3 linked regions of the Coturnix japonica genome follow. The protein of the gene in region 1 purifies or fractionates together with the protein of each later gene. This does not show direct contact. Links are inferred from orthologs where the notes say so. Each region holds a gene or a part of one and is shown in the gene's direction. Other genes may lie near its edges.

Evidence for each region.
Region 2: the proteins of POLR2E (region 1) and INTS6 purify together in Homo sapiens (affinity purification with mass spectrometry; 3 studies listed by BioGRID and IntAct, with this or other methods). This does not show direct contact. The link is inferred for Coturnix japonica from reciprocal best matches to the Homo sapiens genes POLR2E and INTS6.
Region 3: the proteins of POLR2E (region 1) and RPAP2 purify together in Homo sapiens (affinity purification with mass spectrometry; 4 studies listed by BioGRID and IntAct, counting the BioPlex papers as one, with this or other methods). This does not show direct contact. The link is inferred for Coturnix japonica from reciprocal best matches to the Homo sapiens genes POLR2E and RPAP2.

What each region holds. Positions count from the first base shown.
Region 1 is NC_029543.1:2,009,007-2,013,139, reverse strand, and holds the start of POLR2E (DNA-directed RNA polymerases I, II, and III subunit RPABC1), read left to right. Parts: upstream 1-1,310; 5' UTR 1,311-1,389; coding exon 1,390-1,446; intron 1,447-1,519; coding exon 1,520-1,694; intron 1,695-2,383; coding exon 2,384-2,499; intron 2,500-2,771; coding exon 2,772-2,852; intron 2,853-2,999; coding exon 3,000-3,058; intron 3,059-3,208; coding exon 3,209-3,287; exon of another isoform or gene 3,288-3,535; coding exon 3,536-3,601; 3' UTR 3,602-3,614; intron 3,615-3,891; 3' UTR 3,892-4,133. UniProt on the Homo sapiens protein: DNA-dependent RNA polymerase catalyzes the transcription of DNA into RNA using the four ribonucleoside triphosphates as substrates.
Region 2 is NC_029516.1:152,151,200-152,154,766, reverse strand, and holds part of INTS6 (integrator complex subunit 6), read left to right. Parts: intron 1-665; coding exon 666-791; intron 792-1,218; coding exon 1,219-1,373; intron 1,374-3,567. UniProt on the Homo sapiens protein: Component of the integrator complex, a multiprotein complex that terminates RNA polymerase II (Pol II) transcription in the promoter-proximal region of genes.
Region 3 is NC_029523.1:12,306,908-12,310,474, reverse strand, and holds part of RPAP2 (putative RNA polymerase II subunit B1 CTD phosphatase RPAP2), read left to right. Parts: coding exon 1-52; intron 53-407; coding exon 408-496; intron 497-2,656; coding exon 2,657-2,692; intron 2,693-3,524; coding exon 3,525-3,567.

The sequences.
Region 1 (4,133 bases):
TGGGCGCCGTCCCCATTGACCTCAATTTTACTGAACATATCGAACTTCACCCCGTAACCCTCCGCAAAGGCTTTGATCTGTGCATCATCCCCAGGCTCCTGGGGGGGGGGAAAAACAGGTATCACACGTGTAAACCCCACACAACCCCATATCTTTGCATTGAGGTGCCCACCTGCTTCCCAAACTGGTTACATGGGAAGGCCAATATGCGCAGCCCTTTCTCAGCGTATCGTGCGTGCAGGTCGACAAGCTGAGTGTAATTCACTGCAGTCTTTCCTCATTTGGAAGCCACGTTGGTGATGATGCAGACGAAACCCCTGGAGGGGTAAAATAGGGGGTAAAAGGAACCTCTGTGGGGGTAAATGGGGTAAAATAGGGGGTAAAAGGAACCTCTGTGGGGGTAAATGGGGTAAAATAGGGGGTAAAAGAAACCTCTGTGGGGGTAAATGGGGTAGAATAGGGGGTAAAAGGAACCTCTGTGGGGGTAAATGGGGTAAAAGGAATCTCTGTGGGGGTAATATGGGGAAAATAGGGGGTAAAGGGGGTGAAATAGGGGGTAAAAGGAACCTCTGTGGGGGTAAAAGGGGTAATATGGGGTAAAATATGGGGTAATATGGGGTAAAATAGGGGGTAAAAGGGGTGAAATAGGGGGTAAAAATGGGGTAAAATGGGGTAAAATAGGGGGTAAAAGGAACCTCTGCGGGGGTAAAATGGGGGGGGGGGTATATAATACAGCCCATTGCTGTGTTGCTGTATGGTACATATAATGTCTCTATAATGTCTATATAATGTCTATATAATATATATATCTAATAGACCTGTATTGCTCCAAGGCCACGTCTCGGCCGTCGATATCCGTGGCGTGGAAGTCATAGATGGAGGTGGCCGATCGCCATTCATCCGCCTGCGCGCACTGCGGGGCCCAGCGGTCACAAAGCGGCTCCGAACCCCCCCAACCCCCCCAGTACCGACCCGGTTCGGTTCGGTTCGGTTCTGTTCTGTCCCCCCCCACTCACCATTGTCCGCCCCGCTCCTCTCGCCGCCGCCGCCCCGCACAGCAGCGCCCGCCCGCAACGCCACCCCCACCCCATCCCGCCACCGCTCTCCCCCCCTTTGACCAATCAGCGATTAGGACGCGCGAAGGCACCGCCCACTTCTTGCAGTTGCGCAATGCGAGCCGCTCCCTTGGGTGATAGACAGGCGAAACCACCAATCAAATCAGCGAGGCTGCTGCAGTGTCAACAAGGGGGTGGTGTCCTTCCGCCATTCCACCCCGCCTACATCTCCCAGCGTTCCCCGCGGTCAAGGACCCCTCGCAGGGCAGCCCCGCCTGCTCGTTGTGGACAGGCATTGAGGCGGGCAGCCTCGTGGGGTCCTTCAGGAGGCAACATGGACGACGAGGAGGAGACGTACCGGCTGTGGAAGATCCGCAAGACCATCATGCAGGTGCGGGCCGGCCCGGTTCGGTTCGGTTCGATTCGGTCCGGTTTCAGGTCTCATATGTTGTATTTCCCTTTAGCTGTGCCATGACCGCGGTTACCTGGTGACTCAGGACGAGTTGGATCAGACGTTGGAGGAGTTTAAAGCTCAGTTCGGGGATAAACCCAGCGAAGGCCGCCCGCGCCGAACGGACCTGACCGTGTTGGTGGCACATAACGATGATCCCACGGACCAGATGTTCGTGTTCTTCCCCGGTGAGAAACGGGGCCGGGTCGGAACCGGGTCAGAAACGGGCTGGGACCGGGTTGGGACTGGGTTAGAACTGGGTTAGGACCAGGTTAGGACCGGGTTGGGACTGGGCTGGGTCTGGGTTAGAACCGGGCTGGGACCGGGTTTGGACCAGGTTGGGACCAGCTTAGAACCGGGCTGGAACCAGGTTAGAACTGGGTTGGGACTGGGCTGGGACCGGCTTAGAACCAGGTTGGAACCGGGTTAGGATCAGGTTAGAATTGGGTTAGAACCGGGCTGGGACCGGGTCAGAACGAGGTTGGGACCGGGTTAGGACTGGGTTAGAACTGGGCTGGGACCGCGTTAGGACCAGGTAGGGACCGGGTTAGAACCGGGCTGGGACCGGGTTAGAACTGGGTTAGAACCAGGTTAGGACCGGGCTGGGACCGGGTTAGAACCGGGTTGGGACTGGGTTAGAACCGGGCTGGGACCAGGTTTGGACCAGGTTGGGACCAGCTTAGAACCGGGCTGGGACCGGGTTAGGACCGGGCTGGAACCGGGTTAGAACTGGGTTGGGACTGGGCTGGGACTGGCTTAGAACCGAGCTGGGACCGGGTTAGTACTGGGCTGGGACCAGGTTAGAACTGGGCTGGGGTCAGGTTGGGGTCTGGTGGTGCTCCTGGTTCAATCTCACCCTGCTCTTTTCCTCCCTCAGAGGAACCCAAAGTCGGCATTAAAACCATCAAGATGTATTGCCAGCGCATGCAGGAGGAGAACATCACGCGGGCTCTGATCGTGGTGCAGCAGGGAATGACCCCATCGGCAAAGCAGGTACAGTGTGATGTGGCCCCGGGGCTCTTTGAGCTGTGCTGGGTCCATAAAGGCAGAGTTCAGGCTCTGTGCCTTAATACTGGGCTTATACATTGAGTGCACTGAGCTGGTGCTGGTTGGGCACAGAGATCTGTTTCCTCTCTGCCCATATGACCATATCAATGTGAGCACAGACACCGTGTTGCCCTCCTGCTGCTGTTCATCTTGGGGCATCTCTGAGCTCACACTGTCTCATATCAGTGCTACAACCTGATGTGCTTCTCCCTTCCCAGTCCTTGGTCGATATGGCTCCCAAATACATCCTGGAGCAGTTCTTACAGCAGGAGCTCCTGATCAACATCACAGAACACGAGGTGAGTGATTCAGGCCGGCCCTCCCAGCCCTGCCCTGTGCTGGGTTTCCCCACCAGAGCTTTGTTCCTCCCCCCAAGTCTTGCAGCTATGCAGAGCTGGTTGCTTTCTCAGACTCTTATGATCTCTCTTTCTCTCTCCTGTTTACAGCTGGTCCCAGAGCACGTTGTCATGACAAAAGAAGAAGTAACCGAGCTGCTGGCCAGATAGTATCCTTTGTTTGGTCCTTCCCTTGCAGTCAGGGTGTGATGAGTGCTTGTCTTGGGCAAGAAATGGATTCCTTTGAGTGTGTGATGTTCTGTTAGCTGTGCCCTGCCTCAGGACAAGCAGACACAGAGCTCCTCCTTGACTCCATGCAGTAAGCTGAGGGAGAACCAACTCCCCAGGATCCAGGCTGGGGATCCTGTGGCCCGATACTTCGGGATAAAGCGAGGCCAGGTAAGAGCAAATAGCCTGATAACAAACAGCAGGGCCCTGCAGGCAGGATGGGGAGCTGCAGCACAGTGTGTCAGAGCTTGGAGATGGGAAAGGTTTCCTCTTTGTTAGTGTTTTTGTTTCTGAACGTTATGGGTTATGTAGAGATGTGTGCAAGGCAGCAGATAGCCCTGGGGCCAGGCTTGGCTTCCTGCTGAACCAGCTGCTGTAACACCAGCCATCCCCCATTGCTCCTTTTGCTGCCCTTCCAGGTGGTGAAGATCATAAGACCGAGTGAGACCGCAGGCCGTTACATCACCTACAGGCTGGTGCAGTGATCAGAGCTCTCAGGTAATGTGTGAGATCCCCATCTACGGGCAGTGCTTTAAACTTATGCTGTGGTTTTCTAGGGGTGACTTGAAGTGAGTTGGCTCTGGGAAAGGATTCCCTCCTGATTTGCGAAGGGAACTGTATGGGATGGATCAGAGCAAAGCTATACTAGGGTTTGGTGCCTCAGTATCACAGCTGAAGGCACATCTCAATGTTCAGAGCAGCAGCAGGGCTTTGCTTTGAGAGCAGCTGCTGAGGGAGACATGAGCTCATTCACGTCCTGACTTATTTCTTCCAGTTGTGAAAGAATTCTGTGACATCTGATCTTCCCACCCACCACCAGCTCTCAGCTGTCTGCATTCGATGGCTGAGGAAGTTCTCTGTCCCTGCTGCCCCCCTGCAGTTGTTTTCCTTGTCCCAGTTCCTCATTTCCCAGCACGGATTTTGCTGCAAATCCTTCTGCTTCAATCAGGAACGCCATGAAAACACCTCGAAGCAACTGAATGACACAGGGAAGAAATGAGCAGGAAGAGGCTTTTG
Region 2 (3,567 bases), on another chromosome or scaffold:
TATGAAACTTCTGTCGTGTTTTAATCAAAGCAAACCAAAAGTATGGGAAATGTTTAAGATATTTTTTCAGAGAATACACAATGCAGTGCAGGATTTCTGCAGTGCAATATGCAGAGTAATTCTGCAGAATTGTTGCTTTTCTTGTTTTCATAATTCTTATCTCTTAGAAATCATATTCAAATTCAGGCATTATCTTTTTAATTCCGTTGTAAAATGCTTTCATTACATCACATGCTAAAACATGATGATTCTTATGATCCATTGCAGGAGATTAGGTTGGAAGCAAGCAGAAGATATTTTAAAATCATTCCAAAAGAAACTGAACCGATTCAACTTCTTCCTGGCTAATGTAGGCTTGTGCAAGTGGTACTTTGACGGAAATTTTTAGACAGTTGTGTTGATGTCTGTCACAAGGGGGAGCCCATTTTCCATGGATTCACCCAAGAATTTGAGTTATGTCATTAAGGGGCTAGAACTCAGGTATTTCAGATAAGATGCATGTAGCACTATCACTGCTTTACTAGGCTGCCTTGGTGCTTGGAGTGTTTGGCAGATGCTTCAAATCAGTAATCTGTATCTATTTTGTTGAGTGTAACATCTGTAACTATTTTGTTGAAATAAGAGCAGAACACTGAGCTACTTTAACACTGGCTATTCTGTTCCAGGTCGATCATACTGTGTATGCTCTCCAAGAATGCTGAATCAGTGTCTTGAATCATTGGTGCAAAAAGTGCAAAGTGGAGTGGTAATAAATTTTGAAAAAGCTGGACCAGATCCCTCGCCAATTGATGGTACTTGATGCCTTTTATACTTTGATATCTGATGACAGTGATGATATCAGTATAGTTCAGTGAAATTAACATAAGAATTGCAAAAACCAAAGGAAAACTCATGCAATTTAAAATAGTAGATATGACTCTGCTGTTCTGAATTCTCATTCTAAATGAGATATGAAGGTTAACTGGGAATAGTGATAGGAGGACAAAGGCAGTCAAATGGTTATGAAGAGCTCCCAGTAGTTCTCTCAACTGTGGTTCTGTAAACACTCAATGCTCACTTGTTTTTTCATTGTTTCTACTTTTTTGCATGAGTGTTTGTTGAAAATATCAGCTGAAGGAGTATAGTCCCTGGGAACATAGGTCTTAAGCTCATCACAGAAGCTGCTAAATTTTTGAGTTTTAATGCTATTTTGTTTTATAAAGCATTTTTCCTTTCTAGATGGACAGATGGATATAAGTAGGCCCTTTGGACCCCAGCCTTGGCACAGCTGTCACAAACTCATTTATGTCAGACCAAACCCTAAAACTGGGGTTCCTATAGGTCATTGGCCTGTTCCTGAATCTTTTTGGCCAGATCAGAATTCGCCAACTCTGGTAAGTACTGAAGTTAGATAAAACAAAAGGGGGAGTATTCCTGAATTTCTTGTCTAATTATTTTTTAAGTCTTGAGAGATGTGCTTTATTTGAGCTATTGTAGATGCTCTGTGAACTAAGGAACATCACATGAAAATCCCTATTGCTGTTATTAGATAATTTGTTCATGAAAAAAAAAAACCCATGGTATTCACTTTGAAGCATTAAGAAAGTGACTGTAGCAGATAAGTCAACCTAGTCTATGCTCTCTTAAAGTACCACGCCAGAAATAAGATGGCACTTAGTCTGGTAATGGACTACTAAATTTTATTACCTAACAGATGATGTTAATAGAAAGGTGTATGATCTTACCAGTTCTGTATCCTTGAGATAGTGCTGTTTGCACTGTAGCTGGTGAATGCAATTTCATCTACTGTTAGGTGTAACTGTGCTTTTAGCTTATCCTAAGTAGAGAAACTTGTCTTTTTTAAAGGGTCTGTCTACAAAATTAGTTTTCCTTGTCCTTGTTTTTATAAATAATATATGCCAGTGCCTTTTGTATGGTAAGAAAACTAGTCTTCAGTATAAAATATTTATTTCTACTTATCTTTGAAAATCATTAAAGTGAAACTTGTGCAATTGTATAATTCTTCCCTGTCTTTCATGATGATTTTTGTTGATTTTTGATACCGAAGTAGCTTGACTAGATCATTGAGCTGCTCAGGAAAATTGTTTGCAAAATTTAGTCTGGAATACAGGGTGTTGCAGAGTGATGCAAGTATGAAATCTTAGTGAAGTTTGTAGATGTGGTATTGCTGGGATCTGCCTCATTCCATGAACAATAAAGCAAGCTAACATAATAAATCTTGTGGTTGTTTAAAAAGCAAAGAGCCAGTGCACTGGATATTGAAAAAACTGCTCTGTGGGAAAGCTGCCCTGTGTACTTCTTGTAATCACTATCAGTGGTGTATCTGCTTCCTTTTACTGTGAAAAATTTTGACGATTTGATGCTACTGCAGATTTTGATTGATATTGCTAAAATAGGTCTTGCCAAGTGAAGAACTGTGGTTCCAAATCACTGAAAACTTGAAGCTAAATGGCAAGAAGATGTGAGAAAATACTTTGCTCACTTGTAGCACGTATACCTCTCTCATAACTGCACAAAACATTGGATTACTGCACCTGCAGCTAAATTCCTGTAGGCATCAATTGGAATTCCCAATTGAACCTTCCCTATGCAATGAGAGGGAGCTACATATGCTTATAGTGTTTCAAAATTTGTATTTCCTGACTTTTATGTCTACGTAGTGCCAGAACTTAACATCCTGTTTACTTGAGGATTTGTAGTTACATCTTTTTTTTTGCCCCTGATCCACTGTGGATTTATCTGATGTAGCCCTACCTCAAAACTGTTTCATGTAATGTAGATGGTACAATCAAGGCATTCTTAAATGTATGTGAAATTCTGCTTATGATTCTGTTGATACATCAACGTGTTAATGGCTGCTCTCACTGCTCTGAGGTAAAAAATAGTTTTGCTGTCCAGTCAGAACTTATTGGACTACTCAAGTCTTAGCATTCAACTTCTTTTGCAGCCTTTTTATTCTTAGTATAACTGCTTCATGGCTTGGTCAGAAACTCCGCCACAACTATTTATTGGAGGCATCTTCTTTCAAGAGAATTGCAGTTCCTTCAATTGAGTGGGCCTCCTGTTTTGTGTGCACTTGGACAGTACACCTTCCTCAGAGTGGAGATACTCAAGGCAAGACCAGCTCTGTGGACAGATAACATTTGGCTGGCTCATCCTAAAAGGAAGAGACTAAAGTTTATAAACTTGTAGGAAAAATTACTTTCAAGGTGAGGTGGTAGGAAGGTCCAAGAAACCATGTATTTCCATAGCTCATCTTACGTATTTATTAGTTGACTTCTTGTAAAGGGACTAAATGGAAGGAGACTTCCCAGGTGTGATCTTCCTCAGATTCTAGTAGCCTTGGAGGAGGTTATAGGTAAGTATAAAAGCTTTAGTTCCTCTCCTGAAGGTCCTTCAAAGTAAGGCATATGGTTCCAACTTTTTTCACGTTTGCCACCTCCTTATTCAGCAAAAGAAATGTCAAACATTATCAACTCATATCTGAAACTTGAGATTGAAAGGTGTTTTCCATGTAATTAATAAAAAGATTACAGTTAAATTGCCCAAACTGAAAGTTTTCACAAT
Region 3 (3,567 bases), on another chromosome or scaffold:
GTACAGGATTTCAACAAAAACTAACAGAGTTTACGATATTACTGAAAGAAAGGTATGGTAACAAGCTGTTTTTAGAATGTATTTAATATTGTCTCCACATCACAAATGCATTTTGTAACAGCATTCATATAATGGACTGAATCACAACTAATGCATGTGTATCTCATGAAAATCATTTTCATAAAGTAAGTAGTGTGTTTCCATCTCCAAAATGTTAAGAGTCATATTGAAAACTAAAAAAAAAAAAAGTTCTGCTGACCCTGAATGTTATTGCATGTCTTTTAAACTGTATGGCCATTTTACAGGGTTCAGAATTGCTCTTCGAGTGTTTTGGTGCTTTATTTGGTTTTTTTTAGTTATTACTACTGAAGATGTCTTTAATCATATTTTCCATCGTTTATTTCCAGTGCTTTTGCAGCAATTTTTGCTACAAAGCATCTAAATATTTTGAAGCTCAAATTTCCAAGAGTCCAGTATGGATGCGAGAAGAAGAAATGTAAGTGTGACCTTATGTATTTGTGGCTCATTTCAAGGATACTGTTTTCTTAGTCCAAGCTGCAACGCAAATTAATTAGTTGCAGTACATCCAAATGGTCAGGCTGAAGCAGAGACAAGTGATGTTAAGTTAGTGTGTTGTTCATGTTAAGTGTTGCTGCCACATGGATTACTGTAATTGATGCAGCCCAGTTCTGGTAATGACTACTCAACAGACTTGACTGTGTTAGTTTAGAGGGCAAACTAGTCTTAAATAATAATGAGTTCCTATTAATTTTAAAATGTATTTATTGTGATTGGATTTTTACAAGCCATGTAAGATAAAGGAATAATCCATCTTACCTTGCAAGAGGTTTTCAGAGGTTAGCCTGAAAGTCTGCAAAATGAAGTTCCTTATTCCACATAAAACTGCTATTTTAGGTTGCCTATTTTCTGTTACTACTGCAACACATTTTGTAAGGGTTACATAGTCTGTGCTTTAATATATTAAAAAAAATTAGGAAACATAGGTGTGCAAACAAAGAATTGAGCCACTGGGTGTCACTGCTCAACAATAAATACTTGCCTAGAGAAGGTTCAGCTCATTCCATTTTCATTGTCCAAGCAAGTACCCTTGCTTTCAACAGAATAAACAATCTGAATTTATATGTGTGAGCTCAGTTTCATGGTAGGAGGATTTATATGAAACACAGGTCAGTGAGAGGAGAGGCTTTAAGCAGCCTGATCTGAGGAATTAGGTAAAACTGTAAAATATTTAAATAAGCTTATCTGCGTATTCATGGTATTGTTTTGCTCTCTCTAAAGAAACTATTTCTAACATCTCTGTTGTTACCATAAAAAGCGGAGTTCTGATGTTTGACATAGTTAATTATCCATGCTGGGATGGGCATATTTTCCAAAACAAACCAACAAACATAATAAAGTAATATCAGATTGCATAAACATTATATATGCACACACTGATACACATTTACACGTGAAAATACCTGAAATTCTCTTGATGGAGAAAGCTAAAAACCTCCATTTAAAACTTTAAAGAGTAATTATTTGGAATTAATAGTTTCACTGTCTTACCACCTTTACTTTCCAGACTCAGTTCATTTATATGAAAAATGCAACTTTCATCCTTTTACATCTGCTATGTTGGTTTTTTTATATATATACTGTCCAAGTTTAAGGAGTTATTTCATTGACTTACATTCAGGGCATGCTTAAAAGGTTCTCTGTCATTCGTAAGGCAGGTATGGATTTCAATAGCCAGTGTTGAATAAACTAATTAGCATTGTGATGTTACCTTATAACTGAAATGAAGCAGAACTGCAGCTAGAAATTTGGGAAGAAATCCTTCAGAATCTGTTCAGTAACAGTTCTTAGTGTTTATGGAAACCTTCAGATTCCATTTTCTTAGCCCACTATAACTTAAGAGTCTATTTTTTTTAAACAAGTAACATCTCAAATGAAGATATCCTGAATATTCCTATTTCCTATAACAATTTGGAGCATTTTTTCTGCAAACTACTGAAGATTGTTTTTCCTATAGAGACCTTGTGAGCTATGAGGATCTGAGCATGTTTAGTTCGAGGAAGAGGAAACCAAGGGATGATCTAAAAAGTCTACACTTATTGAAAAAAATTACCTAGGCTACAGACCCAAACTGTTCTTGGTTTCTATCAAAAAACTTAATGAGTTTGTACTTTAAATATGTTGGCCATAAATTATGGTATCAGTGGTTTACATTAACACTGGGGAAAAAGGTGTGCTCTAAGAGAGCAGTGGAACAAATCAGTGCATGCGGAAAGGTTCTGAAATCTCAATCCTCAAGATTTAAACATAAAGAAGGTGTGGCTGATCTAATCTACTGCTGGTAACAGTCTCACTGTCTCAGTAGGTCAGATTGGAGCCCTCCAGAGGTCCTTTCTAACTAACATTTATATGATTTGATAAGTTATTAAATGTATAATGCTACAGGCCCGCACAAATTATGCTCTGAATGTGAATGTATGAACCTGCTCCAGCTAACCCTGCTTTGAACAAAGGATGTTGGACTAAGATCATTAGAGGTTCTTTCCAGCCCCAACTATGTGTTTTCTGTGTTTGTGCATTTCAAGGGTACTGATTTAGCAGAAAAAAAAAGTCATCATTCCTTATGTTCTTTTTGCAGACCATCAGACATAGAGCTGCTGAAGAAGGGGCAGAGGTACATTGAATAATAATTTGTTATATGCATTTATAGTTAGAAATATTAACATTATATTGGGGAAAGGGCAAATCTTTGAAAAGACTTTATTAGACAAAGGGTTATTTGTCTTATTTCTTTTCCTTTGTGATTCTAAACTAGCGTGTTTGACCTGTATGATTTAGTGTACAGCTGCTCTTGGCCTATGTGTCATAATTGATCCTGCTGAAATCTGAAACAAATACACTGTTTGTACTTTAAATATTTTATACCATCTATTCTTTATGAAGAAAGTGTACCAATTATAGGTGATGAAAACTTCTGCACTTCCTATTCTAAAACACCAATATCAGCTCAATTGAATTCACGTTACTCTGTCATCTCTCTGTACCTTGCCGCATATGGCGACTTTGTTTTCTTTTGGAACATCCAGCCATTAGATGGCAAACTTAAATATGCCAAAAACAAGCTCTACTGGCCTACTGATTTACAGTTACTACGTGTATGTGTATATTGAGATACTGATCTATATTTTAAAATGGAAATAGTTTAAAATTCTTCATACTAAATTGGAACTTAAGTCTGTCTTTAGTAACAACTTGTTTACTATTCTAACTGCCACTAAGCATCTGGGAACAAATTTCTCTAAATAGCATTTAAACTTGCCATCTTAATTGCAAAACATTAGAACTCTGAGTTTAAAGATGATTTCTAGAGCAAAAAAAAAAAAAAAAAAGTATACACTTTCTATACAGGAACAAGGTTCCATTTCTCTTTCTTTTATATAATAATTTTCTAATCTCACGTAACATCCATTTCATACTTCATTGATGGCTTGTGTTTTGTGTTACAGTGGCCAATCTGGAGAAGAAGTGAAAATATGTGATGAAGTAGTT